7 linked regions of the Coturnix japonica genome follow. The protein of the gene in region 1 purifies or fractionates together with the protein of each later gene. This does not show direct contact. Links are inferred from orthologs where the notes say so. Each region holds a gene or a part of one and is shown on either strand. Other genes may lie near its edges. The genes, in order: YAP1, CCDC85C, WBP2, PHGDH, AMOTL2, PATJ and ALB.

Evidence for each region.
Region 2: the proteins of YAP1 (region 1) and CCDC85C purify together in Homo sapiens (affinity purification with mass spectrometry; 5 studies listed by BioGRID and IntAct, with this or other methods). This does not show direct contact. The link is inferred for Coturnix japonica from reciprocal best matches to the Homo sapiens genes YAP1 and CCDC85C.
Region 3: the proteins of YAP1 (region 1) and WBP2 purify together in Homo sapiens (affinity purification with mass spectrometry; 7 studies listed by BioGRID and IntAct, with this or other methods). This does not show direct contact. The link is inferred for Coturnix japonica from reciprocal best matches to the Homo sapiens genes YAP1 and WBP2.
Region 4: the proteins of YAP1 (region 1) and PHGDH purify together in Homo sapiens (affinity purification with mass spectrometry, with the first as the bait; 4 studies listed by BioGRID). This does not show direct contact. The link is inferred for Coturnix japonica from reciprocal best matches to the Homo sapiens genes YAP1 and PHGDH.
Region 5: the proteins of YAP1 (region 1) and AMOTL2 purify together in Homo sapiens (affinity purification with mass spectrometry; 10 studies listed by BioGRID and IntAct, with this or other methods). This does not show direct contact. The link is inferred for Coturnix japonica from reciprocal best matches to the Homo sapiens genes YAP1 and AMOTL2.
Region 6: the proteins of YAP1 (region 1) and PATJ purify together in Homo sapiens (affinity purification with mass spectrometry; 7 studies listed by BioGRID and IntAct, with this or other methods). This does not show direct contact. The link is inferred for Coturnix japonica from reciprocal best matches to the Homo sapiens genes YAP1 and PATJ.
Region 7: the proteins of YAP1 (region 1) and ALB purify together in Homo sapiens (affinity purification with mass spectrometry, with the first as the bait; 3 studies listed by BioGRID). This does not show direct contact. The link is inferred for Coturnix japonica from reciprocal best matches to the Homo sapiens genes YAP1 and ALB.

The regions. Positions count from the first base shown.
Region 1 is NC_029516.1:163,414,770-163,418,419, reverse strand, and holds part of YAP1 (transcriptional coactivator YAP1), read left to right. Parts: intron 1-771; coding exon 772-965; intron 966-2,470; coding exon 2,471-2,512; intron 2,513-3,650. UniProt on the Homo sapiens protein: Transcriptional regulator with dual roles as a coactivator and corepressor. Critical downstream regulatory target in the Hippo signaling pathway, crucial for organ size control and tumor suppression by restricting proliferation and promoting apoptosis.
Region 2 is NC_029520.1:43,762,959-43,767,367, reverse strand, and holds the start of CCDC85C (coiled-coil domain-containing protein 85C), read left to right. Parts: upstream 1-1,505; 5' UTR 1,506-2,266; coding exon 2,267-2,978; intron 2,979-4,409. UniProt on the Homo sapiens protein: May play a role in cell-cell adhesion and epithelium development through its interaction with proteins of the beta-catenin family. May play an important role in cortical development, especially in the maintenance of radial glia.
Region 3 is NC_029533.1:4,035,545-4,039,895, forward strand, and holds the start of WBP2 (WW domain-binding protein 2), read left to right. Parts: upstream 1-1,533; 5' UTR 1,534-1,609; coding exon 1,610-1,668; intron 1,669-2,504; coding exon 2,505-2,613; intron 2,614-3,147; coding exon 3,148-3,283; intron 3,284-4,351. UniProt on the Homo sapiens protein: Acts as a transcriptional coactivator of estrogen and progesterone receptors (ESR1 and PGR) upon hormone activation. In presence of estrogen, binds to ESR1-responsive promoters. Synergizes with YAP1 to enhance PGR activity.
Region 4 is NC_029523.1:4,130,498-4,134,741, reverse strand, and holds the start of PHGDH (D-3-phosphoglycerate dehydrogenase), read left to right. Parts: upstream 1-1,411; 5' UTR 1,412-1,517; coding exon 1,518-1,655; intron 1,656-1,980; coding exon 1,981-2,132; intron 2,133-2,267; coding exon 2,268-2,333; intron 2,334-2,413; coding exon 2,414-2,468; intron 2,469-2,545; coding exon 2,546-2,644; intron 2,645-2,715; coding exon 2,716-2,848; intron 2,849-2,922; coding exon 2,923-3,071; intron 3,072-3,150; coding exon 3,151-3,303; intron 3,304-3,376; coding exon 3,377-3,509; intron 3,510-3,670; coding exon 3,671-3,795; intron 3,796-3,928; coding exon 3,929-4,148; intron 4,149-4,244. UniProt on the Homo sapiens protein: Catalyzes the reversible oxidation of 3-phospho-D-glycerate to 3-phosphonooxypyruvate, the first step of the phosphorylated L-serine biosynthesis pathway.
Region 5 is NC_029524.1:3,381,779-3,384,147, forward strand, and holds part of AMOTL2 (angiomotin-like protein 2), read left to right. Parts: intron 1-375; coding exon 376-520; intron 521-761; coding exon 762-854; intron 855-1,587; coding exon 1,588-1,883; intron 1,884-1,981; coding exon 1,982-2,274; intron 2,275-2,369. UniProt on the Homo sapiens protein: Regulates the translocation of phosphorylated SRC to peripheral cell-matrix adhesion sites. Required for proper architecture of actin filaments.
Region 6 is NC_029523.1:24,546,442-24,550,731, forward strand, and holds the start of PATJ (inaD-like protein), read left to right. Parts: upstream 1-1,412; 5' UTR 1,413-1,502; intron 1,503-1,561; exon of another isoform or gene 1,562-1,580; intron 1,581-4,290.
Region 7 is NC_029519.1:45,350,471-45,354,120, forward strand, and holds part of ALB (serum albumin), read left to right. Parts: intron 1-329; coding exon 330-459; intron 460-1,348; coding exon 1,349-1,563; intron 1,564-2,039; coding exon 2,040-2,172; intron 2,173-2,998; coding exon 2,999-3,096; intron 3,097-3,236; coding exon 3,237-3,375; intron 3,376-3,650. UniProt on the Homo sapiens protein: Binds water, Ca(2+), Na(+), K(+), fatty acids, hormones, bilirubin and drugs. Its main function is the regulation of the colloidal osmotic pressure of blood. Major zinc transporter in plasma, typically binds about 80% of all plasma zinc.

The sequences.
Region 1 (3,650 bases):
CTATTTTAAGAAAGAAACTTTAATTGTTCATGTTCCAGGGATCCTTTTTCTATGATGAAGACTAAGACAACATATGATTTTATTTTAACTTGTAGAGGAAACATCGTGTCTGTCAAGCAGATGCAACGTTTTAGAAAACAAAATAGGTTTAAATCTTGTAATATTGTTGTCTGTGTAATTTGTCTACCATTCTTGTGCCAGCACTGATTTTGCACGTCAAGATTTGCTTAGAAGTCTAAATGGAGTCTGTAATACTCAAAACTGATTCCAAAAATGATGCAAATGGTTGCTGTGCGACCCGCACCCCATTGCAAATAGTGGCAGCTTGTAACCGAGGCAGCTGCTGGGTCTGAGTGAGATCTCTTTTGTCATTCTGTGCATTGGATGATTCTAAGATTCCATGTGAACAAGAAAAGTGTTTTTGTGTTATTTGTGTCTACATTGAAAATAATGTATTGGCAGGAAAAGCAAGCAGACATTCTAATTAAAACTGAATAATTTTCCCACCACTTTGACATTTTGCACCAATATGCACATTCAGGTCTGTTTTCAGGAGCTTTTAGAACAAGAATTACACATAAACATGAGAATGTTGCATTGATTTCACAGGAATAATAAATGTGAGCATATGTTTCATGCTGAACATCATTGTGACTGCAAGTCTTGTATGGTCAGGGCTTGTAATTTCTAGCTGTATCTTGTCTAAGGATAGTACTTGCCTTGTATTTGTTTGCATTTTGTTTTCAAACATTTGTTGTTTTGGTTCCATAGCCATGAATCAGCGAATCAGCCAAAGTGCTCCAGTGAAACAGCCACCCCCTCTGGCTCCTCAGAGTCCCCAAGGTGGGGTCATGGGTGGGAGTAGCTCCAATCAGCAGCAACAGATGAGACTTCAGCAGCTACAGATGGAGAAGGAAAGGCTGAGACTGAAGCATCAAGAACTGCTTCGGCAGGTGAGGCCACAGGTTAGACACCTACTATTTCTCTTGTATGTTATATTTTGTTTCGTTTTGGCTAAGTTGTTTCACTGATTTTTAAAGACTAATAACTGTGCAAAACGTTTTGAGATTTAAAAAGGTTTGAAGTCATTCTATTAGTGGTATCAGACTGATAGTGAAAGCATCTGACTTAACCCACTGAAGGATTTTGCCTTCCTCCCTAATTCCCCCCTCTCTAACAAAACTTTCTGAGATCAAGTTTCTTTGCTGTTAGGATGGCCTCATGGACTGTTGATCTGACTGGAGAATCCTCTTGAGAATATGTCTCATAGTCATTGAGTTCTGAGTCATGCAAAAAGAAGCTGGTTCCCACAGTTGTGTTAGTTCTCCCTTTTAAGTACACGGAGGTATTTCACTTTCAGAAGAACATGTTGGACTGTTGGATTCTACAGTTAAGTTTTTGTAAGAAACATTGAAGAGACACCTTGTTGCTAAAAATCTCATCTGTGTAACTGCGGAGGAGAGCGTGGAACAACTCAATCACTCATGCTGCATTTTGAACCACTGTTTTTCTTATAATGAGGAATTTCAGACTTCATAATTAGGCTGCAAACTGTTTCTTCTAGTGTTTTTGACTATATTAAGTATTGTCAGAATGAATGTCAAAGTGTAGCACTGGACATTGGCATCTCTGGATTTTGAGTTTGGGCTTGGCTTCCTTTTCACTTTAAACTTCTGCTTCCATTTTTCCATCTGTATGTTTTAAAAAAGGTTACTGCCATTCTTCAAGATACTTAGGATGTTCTTTGGTTTTGTTTTCTTTTTTGACACTGAAGAAAGCACTAATCTTCTCTTTGAGGAAAAGCTCTTAAAATCTTACCCTGTTCCCTTTTCACTTTGGGTGATGGGTCTTGTATCAGATGAGAATGATGTCTTCACCTCAAAGACAGCTTTTCACTTTCTTATTTACCTGCAGCATTCTATCCTGGAATCTGGCTCCCATTATCTTGAATAGTCAAGGCTTGTACTGTAGGATTCTTCAACATCTCTTGGTATAAGATGGGTCATCTTTAAAGCTGTTAGTTTTTGTAATACTCTAACTAAGAGTACATTGCAAAGATGGTGTCAGGACTTTCTCTGCTTAAGCACCTGGGCCTCTGCTGTTCCTGCTTTGCTATTAATCCACCAAACAAACATCTTACCCTGTGCTAGCATGCTTCTAGGTAGGCATTCTAATTTTCTTCTTGCCTCAGTTGTCATTGAGAATCTGACTAACTTTGAACCAGGTGACAGACAGTTCCCTTCGTGTTGTTCTCCCTGGGCATCCAGCTTTTCTGTCAAATACACATCCTTGGTAAACCTGTGAGTTTTGTTTCACTGTCTCATGATTTTTGTAGTTTCTAAACTCCCTTAACCTGTCTCATCTGGCCTGTCTTGGGGGCTTGATACTACAAGATGGTGTTTATAAGACAGCCTGCACAGGCAAAACTTGCAGCTAAAGTAATTTTTATCCATCTTATTTTTACTCATAGGCAATGCGGAATCCCAGCACAGCAAATTCTCCAAAACATCAGGTAGGCTCTTAACTGATGTTTCAGCATAATTAGAAACATGAAAACATTAGATTAGACTAGCTGAGGAGCTTTGCTACATAAGGGCATTCTAAGAAAAAAAACATGCTCTGCCAATACGTATTTTTGAACCATTTCTCTGATCATGACCCTAACATTATCTTTTAAGAGTTCTGCATTACCACAACTTGATATCAATATTTAAATGCAATGGGAATTCATTGCACAGTTTTCTGCATTGAAAGCAATGTTCTTGTTTAGCATTCTTGAAGATACCGCTGTTCCAGTCCTGATGTCATCAAGAAGTGTATTTAAAGCAAACCCCTCATTATTTCTAAGGTAGTAGTTTGTGGCTTTTAAGTTCTATTCACATGAATGTTCTTGATCTGTGTAAGCAGGTGTGATCATAAGGATGTCTGTAAATCTGTTAATAAAAAGTCACTTTAAAAGTTTATTATTTTTAAGCATGTACAGTGTAATAATCATTTAATAAATCAGACTAATAAAGTAATTGCTGTGGCAATATAGTATGTAATTATTCCACTTTGAGATTTAGCCAGCTCTTGCACAGATGCATTTTCTCTATTGGAAAAAGTAATTTTATAAAGCCTTCCAAGCTCAGAGCAAATGAAAATGGTCAAAATATGTAGCACAATGAACAGTTGAAAGTGGACTTCTTTTGGGCACTTCAGAAGTTGAATGTGAACTGAATCCCTGAAAGGGTGGATTTATGAATATATTCAGCTTATTGCCTGCTATGACTAACATTATTCTTAATCTACTAGCTTTTAGGACAATATTTATATTGGCTCATATTGTACTTGGTCTTTTTAAGAAATACAACATTATGCACTATACGGGAAACCCAGAATAAAAGGAAGTACTCTGTATTTGGCAGTTATGAGTACTGGTGTACTGTTGCATTCTTAAACGTACTGTAGAATTTATACGTCACTGATTCTTCTGAGAAGATCATCTTCAAAATGAGAAACTCAGACTTCAGAGACAGTACTGATGTTCTGAAAAATATCTTTGACAGTATAATCAGAGCACTAAAACTGAAGCATTTTACCTGATATGTAATCATTACCCAACTATTCATTTACTGAACGTTAATCATATAACATTTCCATCAGTCACT
Region 2 (4,409 bases), on another chromosome or scaffold:
GATTGTCTGTGTGTGGTACTATGGATTGACCACCTGCATATCCCATGTGAAGCAAGCCAGCCCTAGAACCAGTCCCAATCCTGTTACCTCATTGATAACAAAAGGATATAAGCTGCTTTGGGAAAGGAGAAGGGCCAAAAGTCACCACGGAAGGGATGAGCTCCGTCAGAAGAAGGTAAGTCTTTTGCTTCAGCAGGGTATTATAGAATGGCTTAGGATGGAAGGGACCTTAAAGACCAACTAATTCCAGCCCTCCTGGCATGGGCAGAGCTGCCACCCACCAGATTAAGCTGCCCAGGAGCCCCATCCAATGTGGCCTTGAACATCTCCAGGAACAGGGCATCCAGAACTTCCCTAGGCATTGTGGGGCAGTTGTCTTAGTTGTCTTAGCATATGCCTGGGCTCAGAAACCAAGCAGCATGCAAAAGAAAACCAAAGGAACTGCATATTTGCTGATTAGACTTAGGCAGAAGTTGCAATTCTCCATCCTTCTCTGGACCGATGCTCCCTCCATGCACAGACCATCTGCTCGGCATCCCACGCTCTGGCAGCAGATTCAATGCTTCTTCCTTGCTACAGGGTGTCTTGGACCAGCTCCACAGTGTGGTCAGAAACCTGAGGCGGTGCTGAGTTAACCCTGGAGTCAAATCATTTACCAAGGTACCTTGGGAACACAAAGCTGGCAACTCCCTGGGGCTTCTAAAGGAGGCTCATGTGGGAAATACTGGCAGCACTGCACTGCCCCAGTACATTTTCACTACGCGATGCTGGCCAAAAGCAGCTGATATTCCAAGGAAAAGTGCTTTAGACTAAAAGTCAGGGGATATGATGCAAGGATGTAGGAAATCTGCCTACACGTTGCCTAGGAAATCCACTTTGTGAACTTTTTGCACCCCTTCCTTGGTCCTGCCTAACGCGTTCAGAAGTGACACTGGCACACCTGATAGTAAAGACTATCGGAACCTGAGGAATAGCACTGCCCGTTTATAAAGGCAGTTCCGCCCCATATAACAGGGGGATGGTGAGGGCTGCAGCAACCTGCGGCAGGCACCCGGAGACAAAGGCGGCTCGGGATGGTCGCGGAGCTCCACCGCTGCGACCGAGCGTTTCCCAGCGCCTGGTGACAGCGTGGCCGTGGCTGCTCCGGCGCCGCACGGCGGGTTCGTCTTCCTGCCTGTCCGACCCCACCCTTCCCCGGGCTGGTGCTTCCCAGGAAAAGAAAGGAAGAAAGAGGAGGAAAAAAAAAAAAAAAGGAAAGGAAAAAAAAGGGAACCAGCGATGGGAAATAGAGGCAGCCCGGCAGCAGCGAGCAGGGCACGGAGGGGCGGGGTGCCGTTCCTTTGTACCTGCCGTTTGAAGGCGCCAGGCGGCCCCGGTCCCGGTAACCCGAGCTGGCTGCGGGGCGCGGCGCACCGGGGCCCGGCGAGAGCCCGGCCCGGCCCCGGCAGCCAATGGGGCAGCGTGGGAGGGCGGTGCTCGGCCCCGCGCCGCTCCGCTCCGCCGCCAGCAGCCGCCGCTCGCCTCCTCCTCCTCCTCCTCCTCCGCCACCGCCGCTCGGTCCGGCTTGGCTGACGCTGGGGCTGTAGGGCCGGGGTCGGGCCGCGCCTCCCAGCCCGGCAGGAGGTGGGACCAGCCCCGCGCTGCCGCCCGTCCCCTCCCTCCTGTAGGGCTGAGCCATTCCGGGAAGGCGCCGGCTCCCCCGCCGCTCCTCGGCAGCGCAGCACCGGCATCGGCCGCCACCGCGCAGGGCTCGGCCCCACGTCGCCGAGGGTTTGGGGGCGAGCGGCGGCGGCGGCAGCGCGGGGCCCGGCTCTCGTCTCCCGTCTCTCATCTCCCCTCTCTCGTCTCCCGCAGCGGGAGGGGCGAGGGAACAAGTGGACGGAGCGCCCCGGGGTTGGGGGTCGGCCGCCTCGTAGTTGTTTCGCCCAGGGTAAGTTGGCCGATCTCCTGTGAAGGCTTCGCTCGCAGCCCGCCGATTCCCCGCCGCCCCCAGCCCAGTTTGGGGGCGCGTCTTTATTTATTTTTTTTCTTTCTTCCCCGTCTGGATTGCATTTATTTTTTCTTTTTATTATGGAGTCTATGGGGAAGCAGATATTCCAGTCGGGCTTTGCTGTACCACCTTGTCCAGCACGTTACGAGGAACTATAATTTTTCTTCCCTAAGATGCAGCAGTGAATTTCAGTCCCAGGAAGTCAAGCGAACAAAAATAATCCAGATAACCTGAACCGTTTGCTACTCTGTAAGAGCAGGCACTTTCCAGGCACAGATGATGGCCAAAAATTCCCTCGAGGGGTCTAAAGAGGACCTGAGCAAGATTTCCGAGGAGGAGATGCTGAGGTGGAGCAAGGAAGAGCTGGTGAAAAGACTGAGGAAAGTGGAGAATGAAAAGATGAACTTAATGGTGGAACACGGCAACTTGATGAAGGACGTGAACCGGAGGCTGCAGCTCCACCTGCACGAGATCCGCGGGCTGAAGGATATCAATCAGAAGCTGCAAGAAGATAACCAGGAACTGAGAGACCTCTGCTGCTTTCTGGATGACGACAGGCAGAAAGGCAAGAAGCTGTCGAGGGAATGGCAGAGGTTCGGGAGGCACACGGCCAGCGTGATGTGGAAGGAGGTAGGCATGTACCAGCAGAAGCTGAAGGACTTGGAGGCGAGGCAGGAGACCCTGCTGCGGGAGAACGTGGAGCTGAAGGAGATGGTGTTGATGCTGGACGAGGAGCGGAGCGGGGCCGGCTCACGGAGCTCCATCGACAGCCAGGCCAGCCTGACCAACCTCAACGGCGGCTCGGCCACCAGGGACGTGGGGGACGGGAGCAGCACCTCCAGCACGGGCAGCGCAGGCAGCCCTGACCACCAGCACCACCACCTCCATCATCACAAGGCTGGCGACAGCAAGGCCGGGGCCATGCGGAGGTCCATGGATGACCTATCTGCACCTCTTCATCACCGGAGCATCCCCAACGGTCTCAATGGTGAGTTTGTCCCCCTTGCAGCCCTGCCTGCAGCAGGTGCCTTTCCTTGAACCCACCTCCTCTGAGTGCACACCTGCCTTGTACTGGGGTGAGGGATGCCGTGGGGGGGGAGATCTTTCAATCCCCACCTCTGCCCCTGGTGTTCCCAAGCTGCTGTGGTAGGGGTGGTTCAGGGAGGAGGTCACTGGGCTTCACTCTGCTGCTTGGCTGGCTGCTGGTGTTTGAGGTTGAAGCTTGGAGGCATTTATCCGGAGGACTGTGTTTTGTTTTGTTGCTGCTTTTTTTTTTCCCCCTCAAAAAAAGCAGGCTGTGTTTTCAAAGTTAAACACTGATTTTCCCATCTCTCCCTCCTATCTCCTCCCCCCTTTACGTGTTCTGAGTTACATTTGCCTTGTTTATTTGCTACTTGTATCAGGTTGATAAAATCCCAGCTGTGATTTTTGGAAGTAGCTGATGGAAGTGCAGGGCTGCCCCACGGACATCACCTGTTCTTAGCATTGTGAGCTCTCATGGCAGGCTGCCTGGCTGTGCAATGCCCAGCAGTTAGAAAGAGCTGGGGCTTTGCTTTCCTCTGTTCCTCTTCAAAAGCAGGAGGATGGTTTGCAGAGAAGAAGCTGCTCTCGAAGGGACGCTGTGTTCACCGTGTTGTGTAGATCAGTCATTAAAGTTAGAAGCGAGCTCCAGGGTGCAACTGTGCCAAATCTCTGACTGCTTGTATTCAAGCACGTTTTCTCCTGTTGTCAAATAGTGGCCAGACATTAAAATAATAATATTGGAATGTCTTTAAAATAGATTTTTTCTTTCAATTTAAAACCAACAAGACCTATTTTGGCCAAGAGGTTTTAATGGGAGTCAAACCAAGCACCAATCTATTTAATTGTTGTATACAAGAATCCTTTTGATGTTCTTAATCCTCTTTTCCAACCAGAACAGGGATCTGGGATGGGGCTTCTGGATGCGTTGGCCAAATAACTGCCTTCTGTGCCCAGAGCTTTTGGTTGTCCTAGTGGGGCCAGAGAGTGCAGGGCTTTTTTGGGGGGCTTTATGGCAAATGCCCTGAGAGATCTGAGGGCACATGCAATGCACCTAATAGCCCAGTTTTCCAGCCGCGTGCTTGTCCGTGAATCCGCTGTGCTCGGTCCTGTTGCTGCAGCTGCATGTTTCCACTCGCAGCTGGAGATGTTCCTGCCACCTCGCCCAGCAGTCAGGGCACGCTGCTTGAAAGGGCGATGCAGTCACCAGATGTTGCAGGATCCAGCAAGCATCTTTCTTTTCTTGTTATTTTTTTTTTCCCCTCTCCTTTTTTTTTTTTTTTTTTAAGTGCTGTGTAAATCAGCGGTGTCCTGTTTGTAAAGCTGCAGATGGCCTCAGCTCCTGGTGTGACTTGTGTTTTCATAGAACCTGGCTGTTTGCGGAGGCCCAGAGAGCACC
Region 3 (4,351 bases), on another chromosome or scaffold:
GGAATCCAACAACAATATTGACAGCGCTGGGGAGGTTCCAAGCAATGAATTGTTTCAGTTCTTTCTGTCTCCCTTCGACTTCTGTCCTTGGCTTGGAAATAACAAAGTTGAAGAGATGAGATGTTTTTTTCCCTCGATGATTTAATCTGTATACATGAAGTTCTGGAGCTTCCCATGCACGCCAGCACTTCCTGACATGAAGGCTGAGTTTCTTAATACCAAACGTCAGCCAGAGCTATGAGAAGAGCATTACTGGGGGCACTGTTAGCTCAGGGAGCATTGGGGGAAGCTGTGTATGTGTGCTACTGACTTTAATAGGAGAGGAATTGGGGCTGTTGGTTATGAGCATTTCTTAAAAGGGAAACTTGCAGCTTATTGAAAAAGCGGATACAAAAGGCACAAAGCTGTGCTTTTCTTGCCAAGAACTGTACGCTTTATGTCTCTGAGTTGATTTCAGTCTGGTTTCCATTATGGAGCTTTCAGTTTCCTCGCTGCCCCTGGGGATTTGCAGGCACTGGAGGAGGGGCTGGGCTGCAAACCCTGCAGGGAAAGCTCAAATCCATACAAAAAAAAAGGTGTAATTTAGCCTCATATCACCTCTTAAAACATATTCACACATTATGCTGAGGGTTGATACGAGGAGTCCTTCAAAACATGTCATTCTGCAGCGGTTTTAATGCAGTTATGCAGGTGTTATGATTGTTTTAGGAGTCAGCTCCAGTTGGAGGCAGTGGGTTATACCCAAACTGTAGCTGTGCCAATAGTGCAGGTATTTTCCTGTCCCCGGATTTCCTCTCGCCCACAGAGCAGCTTTCTTTGTCTATGGGGTGACTTTTTGGCCCCTCCAGTTTAACCCTCAGTGGGTTAATTGTAGGAACCCAGGTGTCTGGGACACAAAATGGGCACTGAAACAGCCTGGAAAGTGGGGGGGAACCTTTGCTTTTAAAGGGGTTGAGCCTCATTTAGTGCACAGTATAACCAGATTAATGGCGTTTTCATTGTGAGCAATGAAAACGTGCAAAGTGCAGCCAAAGATAAAGTCCTGGAAGGGGAAAATAAAAGGGAATTGGAATGCAGTCAGGGCACTGGGCAAACCGTGCTTTGTTTGTGTGAGCTCTGTGGTACTATCTAAAATAGGAAGCTGGCAGAAGAGCTGCCAAGTCACGCAGGCTGCAAAGAACTGAGCTCATTTTATTATATATGGTCAGAGGGAGCAGAATGGGGTGATTGATGGGATGGGAAATGGGTTATCCCAAAAAGGAGCCCGGCTCTTTGGGTTGTGTATAGCAAAGTCAATATGATCTCAGCAGCTGGCTGGAGCTCGGGGAATTAATAGCAGCGTTAATTGGTGGCACTGCTCCTCGGGGACGGCAGACGAGGCTGAGTGAAGCGGTGAGATTTGGGGCAGAAAATAACCCTTAAGGAGCGACCTACACCACCCCAAAAAACCAACATGGCTGCCGAGCGAGAGGACTACAACTCCCAGCATGCCCGGGGAACACCACCCCCTCGAGACTACAAATCCCAGAGCGCACCGCGCGCCCAGCGGGCTCTTCTTCGCGCAGGCGCAGTGCGAGCTCGGCTCTGTGAGGCGGAGGCGGCGCTGAACATGGCGCTGAACAGGAACCACTCGGAGGGCGGCGGCGTCATCGTTAACAACAGCGAGAGGTGAGCGGTCAGGGGCCCAGCCCTCTTCTCTCTCCTTCTCCGAGCCCCTTTCCGTCCAAAATGGCCTTTTCCTGCGGGTCATATGGGGCTGAGGGGCTCTAACACCCGCCCCCCCCCCCCCCCCCCGCCATGTTGGGGTTAACCCTTGGTGTGCCCTATGTGGCTCATTAACCCTTGTTTAACCCTATGTGGCTCATTGCCGTCATATAGGCCCTGGTTCGTGGCCCAGGTGCCCTTCTGTACGACTGGGGATGGTAATAGGTCTAAATGTGCTGTGCACACCATTAGGGCCTGGTTTACCTGACGTGGATGTTGTCATATTAAGACAATACTACCTGCATCCATATGGATGTGTTTTATTGGTCTTAATCAGGCTGGTTTCTGATTGAGGCTTAAGGAGTCAGTGTGGGGTTATAGGAGTGAGAAGAGGAATGATCCCAATCACGTTATAGTGACTGAGATGGATTCTTGTGACCTCTGGTCGCCTCATTGCATAACCCAGGCTGAGGGGTTCCTGCTAAGCAGCCCTACCTGTGTTGTGTTGCTTGTGGTGAAGCAATTTAGGGAAATGATCGGGCAGAAATTCAACATAATGCAAGAAATACATTGAGAACTTGAGTTTAATTGACTGGATTCACCAGCCGGCTGTGCAAACAGCTGTATCAGCTCACTGAAGAAGGAACACGAGGCTGAGAGCAAGCAGAAGTGCAAGGCAGAGTGAGCATGTGTGCTGGGTGCTGGGCTGAGGTTAAGGCAGTTCTGGTAAGTCAGTGAACTCTACGTGCTGGAATCTGCCCCAAGCTCTAACACTGTGCCTCTTCTCATCTTGTTTGCAGCGTTCTGATGACCTATGATCATGTAGAAATGACCTTCAGTGATGCTGAACCGATGCCTGAGGCGTTCAAAGGGACCAAGAAAGGGAGTGTTTTCTTGACTCCCTACCGAGTAAGTAGTAAAAGGCATTAGAAAGAGATCAGAGTTCTTCATGGCTCTGCACTTCTACACGTGCATGAAGGTCTGGATAATGTACCCGTCCTCCCCTTGTGGGGAGCACTGTGGCTTCATTGCATGTCCTGCCTATTTGGCAAAAGATAATCAATCTGATTAGTTGTCAACCATGACATTAGTTCTTACCTGGGCAGCTGTTTTAGTCCACCAGGCATCTTCAAGATTGGAAATGAGCGATGGTTTGGAAATGCGGAATGGAGCAGTTCAGCTACTAAATCACAGCTGTGAGTTCTCTAGGAACTGGGAGGAGTGTTATCTGAGCAAGTGTGTAATCCTTCTGGAAGGCTTTATGGCCTTGAGGCATCATTTTACCCTTGTGACAGTTCTGAGAACCCTGGGGCTTGCAGAAATTACAAGGATCTTTGAGTGTGGGAGGCAGATTCAGTCCACCAGCAATGTCCACAGATAATAAACCGGGGCAGTGTTTCCTGTTCATTTTAAACACCCTTTGTAATGTTGTTTCTTTTTCAGGTTATCTTTATATCGAAGGGAAAGGATGCTCTGCAGTCTTTTGGGATGGCCTTTTATTTGTTGAAAGATTGTGAGATTAAGCAGCCTGTCTTTGGAGCAAACTATATCAAGGGTACAGTGAAAGCAGAGGCAGGAGGTACGTATAGCACTGATACAAAGCTGAGCTAAGATGCAGAACTTCTATAGTTCCTAGTAAAGTAATTATTCATTGTAATGTGAAGTGGATACTGGATGCATAGGTTCTTTCAGTATTGCTAAAATGTGTTTTTCTCTTTGAAACCAGCGGCTGAAAATATTCCCCCCTGTCAGCTCTGTGCAGTTACAGTGAACAGATTAGCTGTGTAACTGATCTCATTCCTGCCCTCTGTATGAAATTCAGAGTTCAGGCAGCCGAGTGATCTCACTGAGTAAACATCAGAGCAGGGATCAGGCTGTGACAGCAGCACTGAGGGCGTTGCTTGGCCTTGGTCAGTTCAGCCTCTCTCTTATTTATGCATCCAGATCCTTCTGTGCCAAACACTCGCGGTCTGTTCTGGATCTGTACGGATTTCGAGGTGTGAATCTCCAACATCCGTTTATTGTGCAGTTTAGGAAAAGCACTGCTGTATTGTTTGGAAGATGATGGATTACCTTGAGCTTAGGGAATGTTCAAGGGCAGCTTTATAATATGTTCAATGAGGAGTTGTGGTAGACTTCTTTTTTCCTAAGAGATACTTTTATCACTGTCCTATGCTTCTACTTCTTACCAAGGCACTTATTTCATCCAGAGCCTGATTTATTCCCTTAGCTGTGGCACTGCAACACAGTGCACTGCTCAGAGGGCTTCAGCCTATTACCCTGAAATCAGCCTTGTAGCTTTTCTATGGCAGCAAAACAAGACCATCCAGTGTGAGAGGAGAGCTGAGCACTAAGGACAAACACTAAACTGTGTGAAAGGCAAACTGCTTTAACAAAATCTCTGTGAGTCCCCCCCCAGAGGCTGGCTTAGTTAATGAGGATGTTGCTGCAACAGCCAGAGGAGTCTGGCTTAGCTCAAAAGGCTCTTTTATCTCTGTATCCCTGTTTCATTACTGACACAGCTACTGCTTTGATGCATTGTTGGCACTCTGGGCTGTGCGTGGTTTTCTTTTTTAGCCTGTAATAAGAGAAGTGGCTAATTCGTTTTTATTTTTTAATTATTATTATCCTGACTTGAAATATTTTC
Region 4 (4,244 bases), on another chromosome or scaffold:
CGTGCAGAGCCCACCTGGGACTGCAGCAGTGGGATTTGGCAGTGGGGGTACCGACACCCTGTAGCCCCCAGGCCCCATCCAGGCCATAGTCCAGTTGCCACCTATGTCACCAAGTGCCACATTAGACGTACCCACCACTCCGAGGGGCTGTTCATGGGACATGGGGACTGTGTTCGGGTCTCTCCATAGGACCGTGGGTGCACACCAGTTAGTACCTTCATCCAGGTCCCCACATCCCTGCAAGGGCTGCTGGGTGTAACTCCTGCTCTGCTCCCCAGGAGAGGGCACCAGCTGCCTGGGGAATGCTGCTCGCATTGCATTGCGGTGGTGCCTCGGTCACACATGCCCTCGAGTCACCGCATGAGACAGGGTCTGCAGGGGCTGGGCACAGCGAAGGGCCCCCACCCACTGCAAGGCGTGTCCCCTGCTTGTCCCCGCACATGCAGGAGGGACAAATGGTTTGGGAGCCACCAGGAAGGGCACCCAGCTAGTGCTGTCCCAGGCTTGGCAAGTGCCTTGAGCTCGGCCTTAATGGTTAATAGGGGCCAGGGCCAGGCATGGAGCTGTGCCAAGGCACTGGAGCAGGGCCGAGGGGCCGTGTCCACACATCCTGCCCTGAATACCCCCAACATATACCGTGCATGGGGAAACCGTGCCCCTGCAATGGGTCTGCAGCCCCTCCAAGAGGCTGTATGGGGCCCTGCTGCAGAATGTCTCCAACCCCAGCCTTGACCCCACCTCTGCCCCATGCCAGCTGCCTCGGACTTTCCTCCCTTTGGCGTCACGGTTGTTCCCTGGCTGCAGCTGCGGTGGGTGCACACGGTGCCGGGGTGCACACAGCCTGCAGTGAGTGTGCCCTGTGCCGGCCGCATCGGGAGGTGTTGTCTCCATGACAAAGGGGACACCCTCCGTTCCTGCCCTGTGCCACGTTGCCGTGCCGTCCCCTCCAGGGCCAGCGCTTTCCCCACTCGGTCACCTGGCTCCCACCCCACGGAGGGCGTTTGCTGGGTGGCTCCCGTTCACCCCATGCAATTGGGAGCTGCCGGCGGGGCTGGCCCCGTGCCCCCAGCGCTTATCGGGGCATTGCTCAATGGTGGGCGCAGCGCTGGATCAGCGCAGTGGTTTGCCACCACCTCCCTGTGGCGGGGAAACTGAGGCACGGCAGTGGAGTGGGAGGTACGTGGGTTGTGGGGGTGCTCGATGCTTTTGGGGGCCCTGTTGGGCTCCCTACTCCGTCATCACAGCAGCTGAGGGTGAGGGGCTCAAGGGGTTTGGGGGGGCTGGGATCCTGGGCTCGCAGCCACCCGGCGGCGATGGGGAGAGGAGGGAAAAGAGGTGGGAAAGAGGTGGGATTATGGAAATGGGATCCAATGAGACAAGAGAGCAGCCCGCAAAACATGCCCCACCGGCGGCCCATTTAGTGCGGCGGGCAGCGCACAGCAACCTCTTTGGCCAGAGCTGTGCGGACAAGCAGCGGGCACGGACCCCTGACAGCCCCAACAGCCCCACACCGAGCGATGGCCTTTGCCAAGCTGCAGAAAGTGCTGATCAGCGACAGCCTGGATCCCTGCTGCAGGGACATACTGCGGGCCGGGGGCATCCAGGTGCTGGAGAAGCCCGGGCTGAGCAAAGAGGAGCTGCTGCAGGAGATCCGGGTGAGCAAACCGGGGTCTGCGTGCAGCTCAGAGCCCTGGGCTGGTGGCAGCGGGTGGGCACAGATGGGCACCATGTGGGCACCGCAGCTCTGTGTCCCAGACAGAGCAGACACACGGTGAAAGGACGTTGCAGGACGGTGGGAGGCTGGAAGCCCCCTCGCACAGCGGGTCATGTCCCCGCCTCCTGTGTCTGATGCAAGAATCCTGGCTGCTTTCACGCTGCTGATCCCAGCCCCAGGCCCCCGGTTCTTCCCACCCCACCACCCACCCTGCCTGCCATCCCCACGGCTCAGCCCCGATCAACGTGCGGTGTCTGTCCCTGCAGGACTGTGATGGGCTCATTGTCCGCTCGGCCACCAAAGTCAGCGCCGACGTGCTGGAGGTGGCGGGCAGGCTGCAGGTGGTGGGCAGAGCTGGCACCGGCGTTGACAATGTGGACGTGGAGGCAGCCACCAGGAAGGGAGTGCTGGTGATGAAGTAAGAGTGGGACCCGCAGCCAGAAGGGAGGCATCCTGCTGGCACGGGGCTGGGGGGTCAGCACAGAGCCCGGCCTCCCCGTGGGTCTCCATCCCTACGGGGAGGTCACACGGTGACCCCGCTCCCTGTCCCCAGCACACCCACCGGGAACAGCCTCAGCGCTGCAGAGCTCACCTGCGGCATGATCCTGTGCTTGGCCAGGTGAGTGCAGGGCTGTGCGGGGTGGGGTGTCCAGCCCACAGCCCACAGCCCTGCGCTGACTGTGCCCTCCCCTACTGCAGGCAGATCCCACAGGCAGCTGCCTCCATGAAGGAAGGCAAATGGGACCGAAAGAAGGTATGGGCAGGAGCAGTGCCTGGGAGGGTGGGTACTGGGGGGCCCCTGCTTGCTCACCACTCTCCTCACCCCCCCAGTACATGGGCATGGAGCTGAATGGGAAGACACTGGGTGTGCTGGGGCTGGGCCGCATCGGCAGGGAGGTAGCCACACGGATGCAGGCTTTTGGCATGAAGGTGAGCAGCAGGACAAAGGGCAGTGGCGGGGAGCAGGCTGGACACAGCTGTGAGCCCCCACTCTGCTCCAGACCATCGGCTACGACCCCATCATCACCCCTGAGACCTCGGCTGCGTTTGGTGTGGAGCAGCTCCCGCTGGAGCAGATCTGGCCCCGCTGTGACTTCATCACGGTGCACACACCACTGCTGCCCTCCACCACGGGTAGGGCAGTCTGAGGGTCTAGGGATGTTTTGGGGCTGTCCCCGTATCCCTGTCCCTGATGGTGCTCCTCACAGGGCTGTTGAATGACAGCACCTTCGCCAAGTGCCGCCGTGGCGTGCAGGTGGTGAACTGTGCCCGGGGTGGCATCGTGGATGAGGGAGCGCTGCTGCGGGCACTGCGCTCAGGGCAGTGCGGAGGGGCTGCCCTCGATGTCTTCACACAGGTGAGAGGGGTCCCCCATGGGGCCATCACCCAAATTGGGCCCCAGGATGGGCACAGGCTGAGGCTGGGGCCATGTGCAGGAGCCCCCAAAAGACAGAGAGCTGGTGGACCACCCCAACGTCATCTGCTGCCCACATCTGGGTGCCAGCACTCGGGAGGCGCAGAGCCGCTGCGGCAAGGAGATCGCCATGCAGATAGTGGACATGGCCACTGGGAAGGGGCTGGTCGGCGTGGTGAGTCCCCTGGTGCACCTCAGAGACCCCATGTGTGATAGATCCCCACTGCTCATCCCATATCTCTTCTCAGGTCAACGGGCAGGCGCTGAGCAAAGCCTTTGCACCCCAGACCAAGCCCTGGATTGCCCTGGCCAAGGCGCTGGGCACAGTGTTGCATGGCCTGGCCAAGCAAGCGACAGGCAATGTGCAGGTCTGCACCCTAGGTGAGAGGTGGGCACGTGAGTTCCAACACAGGGACCCATGGGGATATACTGGGTCAGAAGGCAGGAGGTGGTTGGATGATGGGATGAAGGATGGGAAGCAGGGGATGGATGGAATAGAGGGAATACAGATGGACATGAGCTGATCGCAGCACTGATCCTAGGGGCCCCCCTGAAGGATGCCAGCAGCTACCTGGCACCTGCTGTGGTGTCAGGCATGCTGGCTGGAGGAAAGAAGGAGCCGACCCTGGTGAACGCCATGCTGCTGGCCCAGGAGGCCGGCCTGAAGGTACTCGGAGTGCCACACAGCAGCCCAATGCCACTACGTCCTATCCTTCCTTGGTATAACCCCACAGGGCGCCTTGCCCTCAGGGAACATCCATGTAGGATGTGGGTGCTGAGTGGCCACCTTTCCCCACCAGGTCACAGCCACCCATGGTGACACAAGCCCTGAGCCCGAGGGCTTGCTGCAGGTGGCCCTGCAGGGCACCCCACACCGGGTGACAGGAACAGTGCAGGGCAGCAGCCCAGTGCTGCGGGAGCTCAACGGGGCTACCTTCAAGCAGCCGGCACCACTGGTGGGCCCTCTCCTCATCTACAGAGCCAAAGCATCTGAAACAAACACACTGCCCACACTCGCTGGTAAGCTCCTGGTGTCACCCCAAGCAAGGGAACATCTGGGGGGTCCCCACAACCAGCCTGGAGTCAAAAGGGGAACCATGCTGATAGGGCGTTGTG
Region 5 (2,369 bases), on another chromosome or scaffold:
CCACCACAGAAAGCCCTTTGTACAGCTTTGCACAAGGACAGGGCTGTTCCCTGCTGGACAGACGGACACTGGGAGGCACCGGGAGAAGCTGGGCCAGCCCCGGGGGGCCATAGTCAGCCAAATCCATGCTAAGGCAAGAGAGCTCCCTCTGTGCCCACAGGGCTGAAAGCAAAAGAAAAAGGGTTTTTGCCCCCAGACCTGTGTTGTTGTGGGGGTTTCTCACTCTGCGGCTCCTGCCCATCCTCTGTGGGTTTGCGGAGCCCTGTTGGCAGTGCAGGACGGGTCCTGAGCCTGGGCAGTGTTTCACCAGCATCTGCCTTTCTTTTCCTCATTCCACGAATATCTCACCCCCGCCCATCACTTCCTCCTCTCCAGCTGGAAACGGAGATCCAGCGCATCTCAGAGGATTACGAAAACCTCATGAAGGCATCCTCCAAGAGGGAGGCACTGGAGAAAGCCATGAGGGCCAAAAGAGATGGGGAGATGCGGCGGCTGCAGGACTTCAACCGAGACCTGAAAGGTGAGAGTAGCTGTGGTCCACAGCTCCATTGGGTGGCTCCCGTGCCCCAGTTCCCAGTTCCAGACCCTTCCTCTCCCCTATTCCTGCAGGCCCTCTCTGTCCATCAGCCTTTCCCCAGTATTCTTCTTTTTAGCAGTTTTATTAGTCGGAGTGTTTTCACAGGTGGGAGGGGGTAGGCGGATTCATCTGTCCAAAACAGCCTTTTTAAATCTCATTTCTTTTATTTGTGTTTTTGCACCAGAACGCTTGGAATCGGCCAACAAGCAGCTGGCCAGCAAGACCCAGGAGAACCAGGAGAGCAACCAGGGCACGGTGGCAAAGCTCCTAGCGCAGAGTAAGTCCCCAGGGGTTCGGCTTTGCCTGATTTGCCACAGCAGGGACTCAGTGCAGAAGCCTTTATGTTGGATGAAGAGGTGGGGGGGGGGTAGAGAGGAGCTTTTTGCCCTTCCCCAGGGATGGCTGTGCTGCTCCGGGCGCTGGATGCAAGCCATTAATCCCGGCCGGCCGGCGGGGTGACCTGCATTCTCCACATTCCTGCTGCCGTGTGCAGGCTCTTCCAGCACAAAGTCCGCACTCCCTCGCTGTGCTTGCCCAGCCCTTCCGTGCTTCTCTCCTGTGCAAGCTGGAATTTCTTTTCTTGGGGGAGAAATACGGCAAGATCCATAGCTCTTTATTTTTCCTAAATGCTATTTCATCAGAGAGCTGGCGTTGGTATCGTGGGGGAGGAATCGTGTCACAGTCCTTACATCAACAGCTAGGTGTAACCTAGGATGGATTTTCTCATCTCAGGCCACATTTTTGGCTGGAATTTGCCAAAATGAGGCTTTCTATGGCAGCAAGTGTCCATGGTGGTGTCATGTCCATCAGGGCACGGCCATGCTCTGAAATGTGTGCTGCAGGGTTGCCCTTGGCCCCAGTGCACCTCATGTGCTGGCTGAGGGCTGCTGACACCACACAGCTGAGTGGAGACCTGTGGGCACAGCCTCTTTTTTTGGCCGGGGGGCTCCGTGGGCCTTTTAACCCCCCTGCACTGTGTCTCCGAGTCTTAGACAGATGTTCTTTTGCAGGCTATGAGCACCAACAGGAGAAGGAGAAGCTGGAGCGGGAAGCCTCGCTGCTGCGCAGCGCCAACGAGGACCAGCGCCGGCGGGCAGAGCTGCTGGAACAGGCGCTGGGCAGTGCCCAGGCACGGGCAGCCAAGGCAGAGGCCGAGCTGCGGAAGAAGCGGGCGTATGTGGAGAAGGTGGAGCGGCTGCAGGCAGCCCTGGGTCAGCTCCAGGCTGCCTGTGAGAAGCGGGAGCAGCTGGAGCTGCGGCTGCGCACCCGGCTGGAGCAGGAGCTGAAGATGCTGCGGGCTCAGCAGGTAAAGGACATCCTGGGGACTGTGAGGTGGGAGGGGCCAGTGATCTGCATCCCAGCATCTCCTCACCTTCTCTCTGGGTCATTTCTTGGCTGCTGCAGAGGCAAGTGGGAACCACAGGTGGAGGGACGCCCGAGCTGAGTGCCCATAGACTGTCTGAGCAGCTGAGGGAGAAGGAGGAGAAGATCTTGGCCCTGGAAGCTGACATGACCAAGTGGGAGCAGAAGTACCTGGAGGAATGCACCATGAGGCAGTTTGCCATGGATGCTGCCGCCACTGCTGCTGCCCAGCGGGACACCACCCTCATCAGCCACTCACCACGGCACTCACCCAACAGCAGCTTCAACGAGGACCTCCTGCTGGCCAACCACAAGCACCAGGAGATGGAGAGCAGGTACCCCACCTTCCCTGTGAGCCACTTGTTGGGTGCTGCGAGCATCCTCAGTGGTCCGAGTGACTCCATTGAAGTTTATGGCTTTGATTCCATCA
Region 6 (4,290 bases), on another chromosome or scaffold:
TGAGAATTCCAGCTCTCAGCTGTGAGCTGCGCAGGACCCTGAGCTGTTTACATGGGGTAAATGGACACTGAGTGGCAGATGTGCCCAGGACAGGCAGCAGTGCTGTCAGCGGGTTTCCTTCTGCACCAGAAGCATTTCATTAGAAACATATGGGGACCCAGAGACTGAAAACAATCACAGACTCACTACAGTTGGAAAAGACCAGTGAGATCTCCAGCCCACCATCCAGCATTCACTGCCCACATCCCTCCGTGCCACCTCCCCACAGATCAGGAACATCACCAGGGATGGAGATCAAACCACCCCCTGCACAGCCCATGCCATGTATCACCATTCCCTTCTGAAAGTCTTTTGTTATCATACCTGGTTATTTTCCTGAGTGAATGGTGACTTACGCATAAATCCATTCCTATGATTTGTTATTGTTCCAGGCACTCAAAGAATTGGTAAAAATGTGGATTTAAAAATACACGGATGTCTGACAAAGATCTCACTGATGTGAAATAGCGCTCACAGCTTCGAGGGGGATTTGTGTGTGCTAAGTCCAGCAGATAAACTATGCAAATGAAAATTGATATTCCCTTCAGCAATTGGGACAGAAAGGCCACGCACACAGTGCACCCTGCAATGAACTCAGCCCTCCAGATCGGGACTGGGGTGCTCCAATGGGAAATGTGCTGTGCTTCTGTGTCTACACTGTAACTCAAGGATGGATAAATACAGGGCTTGTGGCTCGTCACTGTCAGGAACGTTGTCACTTCTCACGAGCGCTGCGTTAATTAAAGTTGAGAGTGAGGGCTGGGAAGTTACACAGCAAGAAGCTGAATTGCTTTCAAGGGAGGATGGAGTGGTGTGTTCTTAGTGTGTTGTGTGCTTTAGTGCAACTGCTATTGCTTTGAATGGAAAACAAATTGGGGGAGGGAGAGAGAAAATGCTTGTTTTGCAATGAAATGCATTGGTTTGGAAATGCTTACCCAAGTGCGAGAGCTACACATGAGCTCAGGAAACTGTGTAGCAGAATAAAGAGTTTTTGTGAGGTTTCATTTTATATTTTCAGTCTGTGAGTATATATACATAAGAGCAGACATATCCACAATCCAGAGGCGCTCCATAGGAAAAGCATTACAGCTGCTTAGCTCTGTCCTGGCCCCACACTTCTCGAGGCTTTTCCCATCTCAGTGATAGGGTCCGTGCTGCAGAGCACGAGCACAGCTCATCTCATCCCTACAGGACTCAGGAGCTCGGAGCGCCTGAGTTCTTGTTTAGCCGTCGCTTTACTGCGCATAAATACACAGATCGCTGTCTCGCTCTCGGCTGACCTCCCGGCACTATTAAAGGCGGCTGAGGGCAGCGTGGCCGCTCCTTCCATCCCATGGCCGCAGCCCGGCCGTGTGCCTCCCCCGCCCGCTGCCCGCCCGTCCCCCGGGAGGCGGCTCTCCCTCCGCGCCGCCCCGGCTTCCTGCGCCGCAGGTGAGGCGTGTTGGCTTCCCGCTTCCGCCCAGGTGAGAGCCGGCGGCCATCGCTGCACTCCGACCGCCTCCTCCTCCTCCTCTTCTTCCTCCTTCTCTTCCCGGCCGCAGGTATCGAGCGGCCGCCGGCCCCGCGCCCACCGCAGCGGTGCGGCCCTTCTCTCAGCAGCGTCCCGAGGGGCGGCGGGCGGCTCGTTCGTCCCGCTGCCCTCCCTCGGCTCGCGGTGGGCCCGGCCCGGGGCGGCCCCATGGGACGGCCCGCTGCCCTCGGCGCCCGGTGCGGGTGTAGCGTGGGGCTGGGGAAGGCAGGCGGCCCCTTTGGGGGCTCTGGCTCAGTCACTCAGTGGGGTGTGGGCAGCTCCCATCGCTTGGGGTGATGGTAACATTAAGTTGTACCGGAGCAGGTTCCGGTTGGATGTTAGGAAACATTTCTTCTCCTATAAAGAGTGGCCAAACTTTGGGACGGGCTGCACAGGGAGCGGTGGGTCTCCGTCCCTGTTGGGGTGTTCCATAGCTGCAGCAATGTGGCACTGAGGGATGTGGGGACCTTAGAGGCCTTTTCCAGCCTTTTAGTACATTTGTGGCATTTTTCATCAGTGCTTTTCAATCCGGCAGTTCTTAACAGTTTTTTGATTAGTACTTATTTAGGGATTGATTAATAGGACAATTGTTCTCTGCTTTCTTGTCAAGTTTTTGAGGCTTAGAAATGGAGCATGGCTTCAGGTTTAACAGTTCTCTTCCACAACAGAATGGTTTATCAGTTGAATGCGCTGTCATCACCGGAGCTGGAGCACTCAGTGTCCTGTTGCACTCAAATTAGCTGCTCTTTAGATCCCAGAAGTAAATTTTCCACGAGTTTTGCTAGGACAGGTTTCGTAGCATGTTCATGGCTGCACTGAGTGGCCTCAGTGTGAGCTCAGCCTCCTATCAGACATCAGAGGCCCCATGGCAGTGCTCCCCTCTGGGCTGCAGCCCACAGGAATTCAGGTTTTGCCTGTGGGAAGCTGACGTGCCTTGGACATGAATAAGGCTGCTCTCAAAGCTGCTAATCACAGGTACACGGGATTCTTTTGCTTTCCTCGGCCTGCAGTCACTGAGGGCTTCTAACACCGGGATGGTTTCCCCACAAAGGTGGTTTATTGATATTTGATGATATTTAGCTTTGGCCTGTTTTTTACCTGAATACACTTGGTGTGCTTTCATTGATGTACTCGCAGCACCCTTCACTTGTTTCTTTCTTGCAAGAGCCTGGAGCAGCTCAAATACACTGTAGTGATTTTATAAAGACTGTAACAAAACACAGCACAGCAGTCCTTGGTGGTTTCATCTGTGAGGTGTGTATGTGCTAAGTTTGGTTGGATTTAATTTTCCTGTATGTTTGAAAGTGGAAAGCCGAGCAGAACAGCCAAATGTGCTACAGTGTTATTCTTTAATCAGTGCATACTGCTTGTAAGCTATGTCATTTTTAATACTACAGCTTACAGGTGATGCTACATTATGAACACTTGAAGATGAAGTTCATGCTGTTTTCTCTTGCTTTTACCTTTGCTTAGATGGAAATTTTCCAAGCTAGAGATGTTCCCAGGACTGATGAAGACGCCCCATGCACATATCAGTCATTCCTGGTAACAGGGCTAGGAAAAATTACAGCTGCACCAGTGCAGAAAGGTGACTTTGGATCGGGATGTACCCTTGGCTGTTTGCTGCTCAGATGGCCCTGTTAGGAGCCTTGAAAAATAGCAGCAGTTAGCACTGTGTGGTGAGGACTTGCAGTGTTCAATGGCCCAGAAGGTTACAGTGATACTGAGAGCTGCGGAGAGGCAGGATTTCCCCTATGAGCACAGCTCTTGGAAGGATTCACGTTGTTGGGGGTGAAGCAATTGTAGTTGTTAGGTGAGAGGGGGGACGTGGGCAGAAGCAGCTCTGTTGGCTAAACCGTGCCCTCCTCCAGCTCCCAGCACAGAGCCCCTTAGTTTTGTCTCCCAGGAGCCTCCGCAGAGCAAGAACTTGTCAAGGCCACTGCCAGAGGTGTCGTGTCGTTCTGAGCCTGGGATGTGCCGGGCTGAGTGCCCCGTGGCAGCTCTGGGGGGTGATGGCAGGGGAAGACTTAAACCTTTCAGCTCTTCTGATGACCTCTGCTGGCACCAGCATGGGGGAATTCCTTTTTTCTTAGTTTGCTTTTGAAGGAGATCCAAGTCTTAAGATTTCATACAAAACCTTATGAAACTTTCCCGCTCCCTATGATGCGTTGAGTTCAGCTCTCAAAAGTGAAGACAGTCAAAACCCAGATACACGCTGTGCTGAAGAGTGGGGTTTTTTTCTGGGGTTACAAAACACTCCGCTTTCTGAAACTCATGATTTTCGCAATGATTTTACGATTACGTTGGGACTTGTGACATGAATTTTGAACTTTGAGGTTTGCAGCTTTGTCTACCAATAAGATAATTAAGTGGCTGTAGAAATCTGGGAATGGAGTTGAGGAAGTTGAATGCAGAGTGGACAAATAGTTTTTTACAAGACAAACCATGGTGTTTTGGGTTACTTCATAACTATCATCGAGGAATGGACCTCTTAATTTGTGAATGATCTGTTGGCACCCCGATCAGGTCTAAGCATCAGTACTTGGAAATTGATTAATGATTATGTGTTTGGGTCCTCAAACACAAACAGGGCTATAGTGGATGGAGCTGTGTGCTTCTCTGGAGCCTGAACACCAGTCTTGGGGACTTGTTCTCAATTACATATTACTTGAAAACTTGGAATTAGCTTGTGTTCTCAGGGATCCCCTCGCACCTGAAGGAGCTGTCTACCTTAAATCACA
Region 7 (3,650 bases), on another chromosome or scaffold:
CTATTATAGAGTACCTGCTTTAGCAGGGAGGTTGGACTCAATCACCTCTTGAGGTCCCTTCCAACTTCTGCAGTTCTGTAATAAAACTTTCCAGGGCTACTTATTATTAGAAACATTTTACAGCCATTCAAAATAGACAGGAAACAGCAGAGGGTGATTCTTACACAGGTGGCTCAGATCAGAAGTACAAATTACAAAACCTTGTTTTCTAGGCAATTGAAGTGAGGTGAGAACACTGCTGATCTACCATGTCATATCAGTAGTGACTTGCAACTTCCTGTTCAACACGGAGCTTTGAGTCAAGTGTATTTTTCTTCTTTTCTAACTAGAAAACTTGCTCGCCTAAGCCAAAAATACCCCAAGGCTGCATTCTCAGACGTTGCTAAACTTGTACATGACACTAAGGAGATCCACAAAGAGTGCTGTGAAGGGGACATGGTGGAGTGCATGGATGACATGGTAAGTTTAATATTCTTCAAAAAAATGTTTACATACAGGAAAACCAGTAGGAAGAATATTTCAGCAGCTATTCAGAGTCCAAGGAACTTGTATTCAGTGCTGCCAAAAGGCTCCTCAGCCTCTAGAAAACAGCTCAGATGGCTGTTAATGGAAACAGATTTTGTACCACTTCTAAGTCTATCTCTCTTTATGATCACAAGAGCAAGGACTGGTTGCAGACAGGGTAGAATGGGTATTTGGTTAAAAAACAAAACATTTACTATGGTACTTGTTTGATGACATTTAGTCCAATTCTGTTGCTAACAGGGCAAAAGAAATCAGAGGCAAAAAGGCCAGAAATCCTTTGCAGCTCTGATGCGTATACTGCCATTAATCCAGCTTTCCTTTATTGCCAACAAATTCTGTAGGACAGCTCAAACAGGAGGATTTGCAAAACTGCAGTAGTAACATTAACTAAATATTGCCCGCCCAGCTGGAAATTAGACATACTTCTTAAACCTATAACTAGCTTGTGTCCTAGGCTGGCTTCACGAGAATCTAGAGCTTTTAATGTTTGGTCTTCTGTCAGAGCTGATCACGCAACAGGATTGAAGAGATCAATCAGTCACCTTTGTGACAGTCTCAGAGGCTTTCACTGCTTTTCCAGAGCTTGTCTTAAAGATTCTAAGATCAGAGAGGGAACCTTATTCTCCCTTGTGCCTGAGAACATTGCATTTTACATACATTGGAAATGCCAGTCCCTCTAATTATTTCTTTTCCTACAGAGACAGCATTTGTTTAGGAAACTGCTCAGTAAATAAGTAACCTGAATGAAAATGGAAGAGTTGAATTAATCTATCTTTAAACTATTATTTCATAGCTTGTCTGAGGCTATGTTTTAATTTTACAGGCAGAGATCATAAACAATATGTGCTCTAGACAAGATGCTTTCTCAAGCAAAATCAAAGGCTGCTGTGAGAAGCCTGTTGTGGAAAGAAGCCAGTGCATTATGGAAGCAGAATTTGATGAGAAACCTGCAGATCTTCCTTCATTAGTTGAAAAATACATACAAGATAAGGAAGTATGTAAAAGTTTTGAAGCAGGCCATGATGCATTCATGTCAGAGTAAGTAGTCCCAGCAGTGCATAAACTTGTATTTGAACACTCTTCTAAATTATCTGTTCTCATGTCTGGACCTTTTGCACCACAAGGGGGAAAAAAGCACAACAAAAACCTACCCTCTTGGGTGTTTCAAGTTTGCGTGGAGAAGAGAGATCATGACTACCATATGGAAATCCAGTGTGACAGATGTAACTCAAGCCTAGGTTCTCATTCATGCTTTGTGACTGCAAAGCACTGCACTACTTACCAAAGCTGAATTGAAATTCATTGCTTTTCCTTTATTCAGGGTTTCTGTTCAGGTCCACATACATTATCAGCTTGAGAAGCATTCTGTCCTGGGGAGGCTATTCTGTTCTTACATTTGCCCTGTTGGCAGTCAACAGATTGGTCCAAAAAAAAATAATCTGTGAAAACAAAGTGTTCACCTTACATGATCTCAGCTGAGAGACTCTAATGCTGTCTGCTCATGCGTCTTTCAGATTTGTTTATGAATACTCACGAAGACACCCTGAGTTCTCCACACAGCTGATCCTGCGAATTGCCAAGGGATATGAATCACTCCTGGAAAAGTGCTGCAAAACTGATAACCCTGCTGAGTGCTACGGAAATGCTGTAGGTGCAATGTTTTGTCTGCATGTAACTAAAATGCTTGCATGATACCTATCATGAAACAATTGCATAAAAGAGCAGACAGAAAGCATTTTAAGAGACTAATCCCCAGGAGAAGTTAGTATTCTGATGGGACACAATGTAGTCCAGATCCAATGACAACGTTATAAAGTTAGCTCAGCTAACTTTATAACTCCATTGGTCAGGAACTCCATTGGTCACCCTCAAAACTTTAGACTAGTCTCACTCCATTTCCTGATGCCTCTTACTCTCAAAACTGATACTGTTTGTCCTAAATAAGATGGTTAACAGCTAGTTAGCCAAATTAATCTGTTCTCCTGCTTATTTGAGAAGCTGCTCACTGATTATAACAGAAACTGGTATGGCCAGCTCACATACAGAATCCTAAGTTCTGGTCTTCTGACCTTGAATTTAATCATACACAAATCAGTGTAGAAGTTGATTCACTGGCAGCTTTGGCCCAGCTACTGAAGGAGGATGTTCCTTCTCACAGCTGATTACCCTATACTGCAGAAATAGTCACTTGATTTTAAGAATAAAGGAGACAAATCCCTAATAGAGATCAAGTCCAATGGACAATTAAATTTCAAAAATCTTCCTGTCATTTTAATTCCATTTCTGTCAGAACTGAATTCTCCTAAGTGAATCAAGCCCCCTTACTCCAGACAGACTCAAAACAAATGGTTGGCCTTGCATAATGGGTATTTTAGAGCTAGTAAGCTTTAGAAGAGACCAAAAACTCTATCTGTACAATTGTTACCAAAATGTCCTTCTCTACTGTTACTGATAAACTTACACTTGTTTGCAGCAAGAACAACTGAACCAACACATCAAAGAAACTCAGGATGTTGTGAAGACAAACTGTGATCTTCTCACTGCCCATGGCGAGCCAGAGTTCCTCAAGTCGTAAGTACTTTCTGATAAGCATTCTTCCATGTAAACAATTATTATTCTGGCCACCTTGGGAGTAGATATACTTTGCTGGTCTAGTTCAGTAGAGCATTCTTCAGATGTGTATGAATAGTCATTTTGTTGTGCTTTTTCAGCATCCTGGTCCGCTACAGTAAGAAAATGCCTCAAGTATCAACTGAAACCTTGCTTGAAATTGGAAAGAAAATGACAGCTATTGGTACTAAGTGCTGCCAGCTTCCTGAAGACAGACGTATGGCTTGTTCTGAGGGTTATGTGAGTACATTTGTTTATTTTCCTTATTCCTCTCTGTGATTTCTTCTATTCTCAAAACCACTGAATTCTGCTGAGTTAATAAGCTGACACTGAATTTTCGTAGCCCCAGAGCTAATTATCCACATAACAGAATTGGAATCTCATTTTTTAATGTATGTGAGAACCCATATAGCTTCCTCAGATTGGGAGCTTTTGAAAATTTTAGCTGAACTTGGAAAGCAAAATTCAATTGATTGAGTCTGTAGGAGCTCGTGTTTGGAAAAGCTGAAGAGTCT